Caenorhabditis elegans: one gene and its partner. The protein of the gene in region 1 purifies or fractionates together with the protein of each later gene. This does not show direct contact. Each region holds a gene or a part of one and is shown in the gene's direction. Other genes may lie near its edges.

Region 1 (4,995 bases):
AAACGATGTTATACAGAACAGACATTGCATCCATTCGACCAACTTCTTTAACTTCCTTCGCCTTCTTTTCTTTCTTCTTCTCTTCTTTCTTTTTAGAAACATTCTCCTCGTTATCGCCATCATTCTCTTCGTCTGATTTATCCGACTGTTCTTCCTCTTTGACTGCAACATCATCCTGCTCGTTTTCTTCCTCCTCTTCTTCATCTTCCCCTTCCTCCTCCTCATCCTCTTCTTCATTCTGCTCTGCGTCCAAGTTTGGAATAGCTCCTGGGTCAGGTGCGGTGAAGTCAAAACTGCTGATGAGAATACTCGAGAGCTCTGTAGACAAGGATTTTACTCCGGCTCCGCGGCCTTTGAACAAGACATTCATGAACTGGACAAAATCATAGGTATATGTGTATGGAAGAGCTTCGAGAATCTTGTGGATAAACGTGGCGATATTTGTTCGAAACTCGGCTAGATCTGGACATTGTGAATACACCATCACAGTAACCTAAAATTTAAAAATAAGTTAATAAAATATTTCGAAGAAACTGCTCACTGTCTGAATATACTTCAACTCTCTTGCTTCGGGATTTCTTGAAATTCGTGATAGAATTAAATTGACATGTAATTCACCAGATCTCTTTCTCTCCGTTGAAATCTTTGAAGATTTATTGCTTTCATCTGGATATGGCATCAGCGCAAGGCGAGGGCGAATAAGTCTTCCGTAAGCCTAAATTTGTACTAACCTTATTAATTTGTTTTGTAATTTTTTTAATTTTAATCCCACCACTTCTGCTCTTGTTTTATACTTGCTTTCTACTAAAGAATGCACAAATGCACAGTATCGATCCGTAAATCGCTCCAACGATCGGAACTCGTGGACTGAATTCGCTCGAATCGCTCTTCCTGCGGTTCGATTGTCAAGATCTAAACGGCCGATGTCTTCCACGACTTCTAGTGTGCTCATGAGTGTTGGTGTATCAATACTGAAGGTGTTGCTATGCAGAAAAGCAAATAACTGGGTTGTGAGATGATGCAGGTATCGCTCAGCCGAATCGACAGCAATTCGAGGGGGACCAATTATAGGATCTGCTGCTCCCGTTGTTACAGTCATTTCTCCATCCACATTTGTTTCGTCTGACTTTCCACCCGCTTTCTTTTTCTTTGCTCCACTTGATTTTTTTGTAACGACAGTCTCTCCTATCCTAACTGTATGACAACAGTTTCGAATAATTTTCAGACATTGCTGAAAAAATAACATTGATTATATGACATGTAATAAACCCGTATACTTACATTGTATAAACCAATTTGATAAAGATCTGAGATTGCTCCAGGCAATGAGCACATAGCAATATAACTACTGGCAGCAGAAACTCCTTTATCAACATCCTCTTCCGAACTGTCAGATCTCTGTCCGTTTTCGAGAAAATACCAGACGAATAGATTAAACTTCATTGTCGCCACATCACTTTCTTCAAAAATATTCCGAATATCGCATTTCTTTCCCGAGATTACAACGCTTTCGGCAAGTTTCTTTACTGAAAATAACAATTTTGAATAGTGAAGCTAACAAAATTCTCAACATACGCTCTTTCAGAACTCCACTCAGATCTTGCTCGAAAAAAGTCAGGTCAACAGAATTTGTGAATTCTTCATAATCTTCATAATTGCATTCTGCTGAAGAAGTTGCAACGGCATCGTCAATATCGTTGAGAGACCGGAGATTTGACTCAAGAAACTCCGATAAATCTTTTTCGTTGATATTCGACATTGAATCTAAAATAAAAAATGAATCATTTCAATAAGGGTAATTTAAAACGTTAAAAATAAATATTTAGGAAAAAAAATTAGGATCTCTGTTTGAATTTACCGCGTTGAGATTTTTAGGCCACGGCCATTGTGTTTCTAGGCCATGGTGCAAACACGGCGCGCAATACTGCGGACAAAACATTTTAACACCCGATTTTTTTTTTTGGTTCTTACTTAGGCTTTTTACGTTTTGAGTGTTTTTCATCTTTCTTTGCTTAACTTAATATTTTTTAGGCAATGATCGGCCGCATGGGACTTGGCAGAGTTATAACTCGCAGTTTATCGTCGGTTGAGCCTGCATTATCTCAAAAATTGACAATACAGCCAGCAATCGAGGTTGACTATTTTTAAAAATTCATACTTGAACTTCTATATTTCCAGAGATCTCCAACAGATTTGTTAAATGCCTTGTCAGAAACCGTTGGCCCGGACACAACTGCTCCACATTTTGCCTACATTGACGATCCAATTACCATTCCTTCCACGCAGTCAACGAAAAAGACCTATTTTATGGCGAAGGTAAAATTTTTGCCGGAATATTAGAATAAGTTTGATAATTTTAGGAGTTTGGCAAAAGAGCTGCACGAGAACTAGCTACAGAATGGCCAACCCTCTTCGCTTTTGACAGAGATCAACCTCAGCTCCCGGTTTTCCGTCCTCGACATCTAGCAGATCCCCTTCAAGTTGAACCGACAGAGAATAACCTGCTTAAAATGATTTCAAGTCGAGAAGTAAAAGACTCGTGTATTTTGTATGAACGCATGCGATCAGAGAACGTTGACGTTAGCGAGAAAGTCCAGCTGGAACTATTCCGTCTTGTAACCTATTACAATTCGTCAAACGTACCTTTCGCAGAATGGGAGGAGTTTGTTGGAATGCGCAATTTTGGAGAAGATTCTACATCCTCATGGAAATCGGGTGCAGTCGCTGATCTTCTTTTCGAAACTCTCCCAAAAACTGATGAAACCGTTTCTATAATGATTGCTGGTCTATGCAAGTTTTCTGATCATTCTAGTTTGGAAAGAGCTAGAGAATTGTACAAGGAGCATCGAGCTGCAAAAGGAAAAGTTTACCGAGAAGCGTTCAATGGATTAATTGGCGCTTCAAGCTACAGTGTCGGGAAGAAATTGGTAGCTGAAATGATTTCCCTCAGAATGACACCCGATATTTTCACGTTCAATGCATTACTGTCGTCTGCTGCAAAAGCTGGAAAGTTTGAAGATCGTGTGAAGGCGTTCACTGAAATTATTGGAGAAATGAAAGAGATTGGAGTTGAACCAGCACTGTCATCTTTTCATTTAATTATCAAAAACATCATAGATTTTAAATTATTGGATAATGAAAAACGAGAGAGTGACGAGCAAAAGAAGACCTATAATCACCAGCTCACCGTGGCTATATCTTGGCTCAATGAAATTCAGAATAGCCTTACTGGAAAAACTCTCAAGCCGATTACATCCACTTGTAATCTTTTCTTCGTCGAAGCAATGGGAATCCATTACAGAGCTGCAAATGAGAACCTCGCAGAAAATCTTGTTTCAATTTATGAATCCAAAGCAAACGAAGTAAAGATGCCAGCATTCACAATTGAATCAATGTTCTATAATAGACAATTACAATTGGCTGTGGAACAAAGTGCTTCACTGAACAGAATTTATGATTTGTACACCACCATGGTACCACGACTTGTTGGAGTCAACAATTATCTGTCATCACTAGTTTTTCGAAAACTCGCTGCATCCTCCGATCGTCATTGGCCACTGTTACGGAGAGTAATCATCGACGGTATTGCAGCTGGACAGATGAATGGAGTTATTGGAGAAGAAATGCGCAAACAGTTGTGTAATGTACAACTACATGTAAGTTTTATTTCCAAATATCTTGTGTTTTTTACAAGTTTTTTTCAGACATTGGGAACTAGTGAACGGGAGCAATTCACATCTCTTGTCCAAAAATTGGTTGCAGTTTGGGTTGAGTTCAGCCAATTCACAGAAGAGAGAATGAGAAGGCTCCAAAGGAAACTGTCGCCTAGCCAGGTTTTAATATTATTTTTCAAACCATAAGTCGTATATTTCTCAAATTTTGCAGATCTCAGAATGTGCTTTGCTCTTGACCAGAATCGGAGAACAGCAGAAAGCTTACGAACTGTTAGATCTACTGCTTGATGAAACTGCAAGCAGTGGGGACGAAGCGACTGTTTATCCACGTGGACATGCTAGGCCATGGGCAATGGCAGAATTGTTCGAAGATGCTCTTAGAAAACGTGATACATATGCTGCAGCGACTTGCCTGCAAATTATGTCGTTGACCGCCAACCGTGCAAAACTTGAGCCTCTCGCCAATCGCATTTTCGAGAAATGTAATGTGAATCAAGAGCAAGTTCGAATTATTCAAGGATTCATTCGTCTTCGCCCACAATAATTTTATTTCGTTTAGCCTAGGATAGTTGTAAAGTTATTTTGTTTTTGTTTTGTTTTGCTTTCAAAATGTCTCCCATAATAAAACTTATTTAAAAATTTGTTCAACATGTTTTTTTTTCAAAGGTCGTTCAATTTGAAATTAAAGGCGCATCGAGTTTTCATCTGAGTGGGTCTCGCAACGCTGTCTAAGGTATACGGTAGCTATTCGCACTACTTCAAAAAATGTTACCTACTGTCCCAAAATATTCATTTCCGTGCACGATTTTTCAGTATTTCTTGTTGAAATCTTCATATTTTTCAAGTATCTAACAAAAACGTGTTTCAATAGTTCTTTTTTCAAGTTATAAGTTATAAGATTTAGAGAATGCATGTATCCCGAAAAGTTGCATAAACTTATTCAATTTTTTTCCAACACGTTATTCGTAAATTTTAAGATATTGTTCATAATGCAATCGTTCTCCGATTTCAGGTAGTATTCACTAACAACATTCACAATGCCTGCTACACCGGTTCCACCGGTAACAATGCCACCAGTGCCACCAGTTGGTTTTCCACCGGTCACCGCTCCGCCAGGACTTCATCCACCACCACCAGTCCCACCGGTTCCGGTTCCGACTCTTCCTGTCACCTCGGAACACAAAACTGCTCACGATGCGTGTATTAAGCGACTCGAACAGCTTGAGGTGAGATCGGTTCTCGTTATTGCTTAGAATAAATATGATATTTTAGATTCCGCCGGATCCGAAGATCTATCCTTCTCCAACCGAACCTGGAACTT
Region 2 (5,010 bases), on another chromosome or scaffold:
TGAACTCTAAGACTTTCATAAAATTAGATAGATATTACTGTATTTTGCCAAACTTAGCCCTGACTAGAAATTCCATTCCGTTCGGGCGTGACGGTGCCGCTGCCCTCCTCTGAAATTGCCCGGACGGTGCTCAAAAGTTATTTTAACCTTAAAACTCGACAGAACTCAGATATTAGCTTGAACTCATCAGTATTTAAGGTACTTATTATTTCCATTTTATTAAAGACCAGTTTTCAAGGTGTCAAGGTTTCCCATTTTTTTCAAGTGTTGCTAAAGTTTGCCCAGATTGAACCTAATTTTACAGTACAAAATGACTTCGATTATCCAATACAATGCAGCTTTCTATGCAGCTTTCTATAAAATAGATTTTGTACTCAATTACGCTTGAGCTTGATCTTGAGAGAATCTAGATTGTGGCAAGATGAATTTGAGTTGAAATTTTCCGAACCTTTTACAGAATCCGGCTGATGTTCAAGAACTAACTCACAAATTGGTTTGTCTAATTTTTCTCAAAAAAAAAATCTCATTTTGATCTCTAAAAACATATTTTGATGTATCAAAACCCCCTTAATCTGTTGACTCATTGTGAACATTACCTGTTCACTGAAAACTAATTAAACTATAATTTAACACCTGCTCTACAGAAAGTTCTCCCCCTTTTCTCAAAATAAACTATCAAAGTTTTCCAACTCCAACCTCTTGGTGTGAATTCATTCATTACATGGGGGTCATCTAGAAGAGTAATAGTAATAGAAGTAAAATTGTTTCATTTTGCTCCCCTTATTCCTCGATTAGTCTTGTCCCGCCATTTGCATGTTTTTGCTCTGCGTCTCTTCTTCTTCTATACACTCTCTATTTTCTTGCAGAGTTGTTCAAAGTTTAAGCTTTGAGAGAAGCGAATGTGGCAGGGGTGATTTTAACGGGACTTGAAACAAAGCGCTTACAAAAATGTCTTAGAATTCACATATTCAAAAAATTTTTTGTTTGCATTTTTAGAACTTCGAATTTGAACTTTGATTTATATGGTGCTAAAATAACTAATATCGTAGTATTACTTTTCTTAATTCAAAAAAAAAAAACCAAAAAAAATTGTGTTAAAATATGACATTTTGGCCATGAACTATGATAAGGAATTAAATTGAAAAAATCCCAATTCAACTAGGCTTCTCCAACTTGCTATATATTGTCTGAATTTTTAAAATCTAAAAATATACATGAAAATGGTTGTGAAAAGGTTATGCAAAATGATAAAAGTCTGAGCTATTTCCGAATAAAGAAAAAATTTTTGTAAACCCCTCTATTTCATAATTGTGTTCCCTTGATTTCTCAATTAGATTTATCATCTCCTTTCTCCAAATCTCTCGCCCCCGCGCCAAGCCCCCAGCTCCTTCCAAATGACCCCCTCACCTGCCCTTGCGCAATGGTCATTAATAAAAGCAACATTTTCCATTTCCCAAATAAATCCCTGGGACCCCTTCTTCTCCACACCACTTTTTTCTTTTCTCTCTCTTCCTCTTGTTCTTCAACCCATTTGCGCGGCTTTCCAGGTCGCTTGGAAAATTTTTGTGGTGGCTTTTTAATCGGCCTTTCATATCTTTTTGTTTCATGCTCTTGTGCTTCCTGAACTTTGATTATGTAGTTGATGTCACTTCTGCTCTTTTCTTTCTGTTCCCTTAACAATTTTCATTTAAAATTTCAGATCCTCACCTCTAAATCCTCATACCCAACAAAGTCTTCTGTGATCAGAAAGCAGCGCGAATAAAAATTAAAAATTAAATAAAATTAATTTAATTCAAGAAAAAACTTTAAAAAATTTTCCAACAAAAATGGGTGTATCTCTCTAATCAGAAAAACATCATGATCCAATTCAGAAACAAGAACAACAGTATGAATCGGATAGCGCGTCACTTACGAAATGTGGCACGCCGAAAAGGCTCGTCGCTGCTTCTGTTTCTAATGCTAAGTACCGTACTGGTCGCGGCAAAAGAGGACGGTAAGTTGGGGGAAGAGGATGAGGATTTCGGGTGGAATGATGAAGAGCCACCTGATAATCAGGATGTGCAGGACGGGGGAATTCCGTTGGTTCGGAAGGAAGAGTTTACAAATAATCAGCTTTATGCTGAAGCTTATCAGAGTTATATTCAAGCTCTTGCGTGTAAGTTATAGTGCAGGTTTGGTTGAAAAATAATGGTTTTTCGAGAAAACAGAAAAACCTTTGGAATTTTTTTTCAGAAAAAAATTGGAAAACATTTTTTATTAAAAAAATGTTTCAAAAAGCTTTACTACCCCTAGACACTTGTAAAATCAGGAAAAAATCAGGAAAATAATTCAGATTCATTTTTTTTGCAACCACATAGGCCCGGATAAAGCTGTAATACTCCCTAAGATTCCAGCTCAGTTTCAAATTTAAGCGCAGTTTTATGCGGAGGATTCAATTCTAAGTTGTATTGTTGGCAAGAATTCAAGTGAACTATATTTACAGTTTCTATTTTTATAATCTTCAGACCCCGCCCGACTAGTCGTCCGTCCAGACTCATCAACCGTCGTCGATGAATCGAAAATCTCATTTTTCTGTCGAGCAGATGGAAATCCGTTGCCTAGTGTGATTTGGAGAGTCAATGGAAAATCCATAACAGATCATAATCGGTATTAAGGCTTCATTGAAATATATAACTGTTACAAATTTTCCAGAATATCAATAAAATCCTTGGCCACCGGCTTATCGACTCTCCGTTTCGAACGTGTCTCTCTGGATGACAATGCGACTGTTGTGTCCTGCTCGGCTGATAATGGAGTTGCCAATCCAGTTGTCGCAGAAGCATCACTAACCGTTGTCCCACGAGACAAAGTTCCGATTGGGTTCCCTCAAATTGAACTTCATCCATCATTGAAGTCGGTCGAACAGGGGAAAACTGCTTATGTCTCTTGTCGGGTAAGTTTTTTGAAATTTTAAAATAGTTGCGTTTAAGATGGGAAATTCGTTGTATGTATTATGAAAAGATTTTAAAATTTTATCAACAAATAATAATGCTAAAAACTTTTAAAAATATGATATTTCGGAAATAAAAATGAACTTGAAGAAATTAACAATTGAAAGAAGAACAATTCAATATGGAGTTAAAATGGGATTAAAATAGCAAAAATAGCACAAATACCAAAAGTTACCAACACCAAAATATCATAGCACATCTGGAATTACCCTATATACCTGAAACCAAATACTAAAAACTATGTCGGCTGTTTTCAAATTAAAAAAAACAAATAAAAAAATATTTTTTTAAAAAACTTTAAAAATGTTAACGATTCCAAAATCAAATTCAAAAAAATTCTTTCAGGTCCGAGGAGATCCTCGAGCAAAAGTCCTTTGGCTCCGTGACCTGATCCCGCTAGACATTCGTGCAGATGGTAGATACTCTGTAAGTACAATCGGAAACCCTGGAGCCCTGATGATTCAGCATGCTCGAGAAGAAGATCAGGGAAAATACGAATGCATTGCAAGGAATACATTAGGAGTTGCTCACTCGAAAGCCGCAAATCTTTATGTTAAAGGTTAGTTTGGGATGGGGATTTTTTGAGGGAGGGATGTTTTAAAAATTTTTTATATAATTTTAAACCAGAAATTACGGTGCCAAAAAATGTCTGAAAATATATGCTCACACACAATCAAAATTTTTTCAGTTAATGCATTTTAAAAGTTTAAGTTGTTTTAGAAATACATAATGATCCAAATTCAATTGTTGAAAAACTGGAATGCCTAACTTGTTCAGTTATTCATTGAAATTTCGCACTTCGAGAGGGGTCAACTCATCCTAACTAAATTTAAAATAGGCGCCCCAGCCAAAAACTGTTCAAATTTGCATTAAAATAGGTTGTCCATTCCTCCTCCTCTTCTTGTTGCGATCACATTTGCATTTGTTTGAGCATGTGGCTTGATATCTGCGCCTCTTGGTCACTTTTATTCGGTCACTTGTTCTCTTCGTGATTTTCATTTTTATGACATAGAGTGGGAAGGGCGAAACAGAGAGAAATTGATGAGAATAGGTGTGATTCACTGATTTATGTTTGATTCGGTGAGCGAATTTTATTCTAGATTTTAGGCCTGCTAGTTGAAGTATTTTTAATATAACTTTTCATAGTTTCTATTTTTCCCTGATGAGCATTTATATCGGTGGTGCTCATTTGAGCGGAATGCTTTTGTTTCAGCATGACCTTATTTTTTTAAAGCTTTGAGCTTTAGAATAGGTGATTTTTTCTAAAACATTGCTTCTGATCTATTTTTGGAAATATAACCGTTTTCTGACTCAATAATACATAGTGAGGTAGATTTTCAAATCGAGTTAAATTTTTAAAGTTCCAGAGACTTTTTTTTGTAAGATACAGCTCTAAAATTTCAAATTCCAGCCATTTCAACCAAATTTTTAAATTCGAAAAATTATTCTATACATTTTGAAACACTTTTGTTTGAGTCTACAACACTGCCAACACTCTGAAATAGTTTGAGCTTCTAAGCATTTTTAGTCAAAATTTTGGAAAAGTGCCAACCTTTCAAAACAAAAGTGTAAATTTTGGAAAATTTTGCGTTGAAATTTTTCTTTGACAGATTGCTACACCTTTAAATAAAAAAATCTCTTCATAGTTTTTTACCCTCCAAGCTCCTCTCTAGATCTGGCAATCATAAAATAAATTCCAAATGTCAATAAAATCGTCCAAAAACCGCCATCCGGATATCTATCGAGCATTTAGCTTCCATCTTTCTGTGCTCAAACTGTGAGCCATCACTAGTAATTGGAGGTCATCTGGAAGATGTCGGTCGTCATCTAGGCGCCTTCCCGACATGTGTGCTTTATGTGTGCAGGCATACGACGACACCCGATGACCAGCAATTTCTCATTTTTATGACACCCGGCCACAAATTTCGATGATTCTTCTTCCCCGGTGTTGTCGTCTTTTGTGTTGAGAGATGTCTTGTCTTTTGATCATTATCATTACTTGGACTTTCTCTATCATTTC

The links.
Region 2: the proteins of let-630 (region 1) and ptp-3 fractionate together in Caenorhabditis elegans (co-fractionation; one large-scale study listed by BioGRID). This does not show direct contact.

Annotation. Positions count from the first base shown.
Region 1 is NC_003279.8:5,161,921-5,166,915, reverse strand, and holds let-630 (Small ribosomal subunit protein mS39), read left to right. Parts: upstream 1-2,031; 5' UTR 2,032-2,034; coding exon 2,035-2,133; intron 2,134-2,178; coding exon 2,179-2,316; intron 2,317-2,360; coding exon 2,361-3,656; intron 3,657-3,704; coding exon 3,705-3,833; intron 3,834-3,885; coding exon 3,886-4,218; 3' UTR 4,219-4,314; downstream 4,315-4,995. Other genes in the region: Condensin-2 complex subunit hcp-6, read right to left, coding at 1-493, 542-715, 773-1,231, 1,282-1,526, 1,576-1,759; ppw-2 (Piwi domain-containing protein), read left to right, coding at 4,712-4,900, 4,947-4,995.
Region 2 is NC_003280.10:10,973,682-10,978,691, forward strand, and holds the start of ptp-3 (protein-tyrosine-phosphatase), read left to right. Parts: upstream 1-1,887; coding exon 1,888-2,155; intron 2,156-2,504; coding exon 2,505-2,646; intron 2,647-2,691; coding exon 2,692-2,932; intron 2,933-3,335; coding exon 3,336-3,549; intron 3,550-3,696; exon of another isoform or gene 3,697-3,846; intron 3,847-4,776; exon of another isoform or gene 4,777-4,985; intron 4,986-5,010. UniProt on the Caenorhabditis elegans protein: Has a role in early neural and epidermal development; neuroblast movements during closure of the gastrulation cleft and epidermal morphogenesis. Vab-1 and ptp-3 may function redundantly within the same sets of neuronal precursors.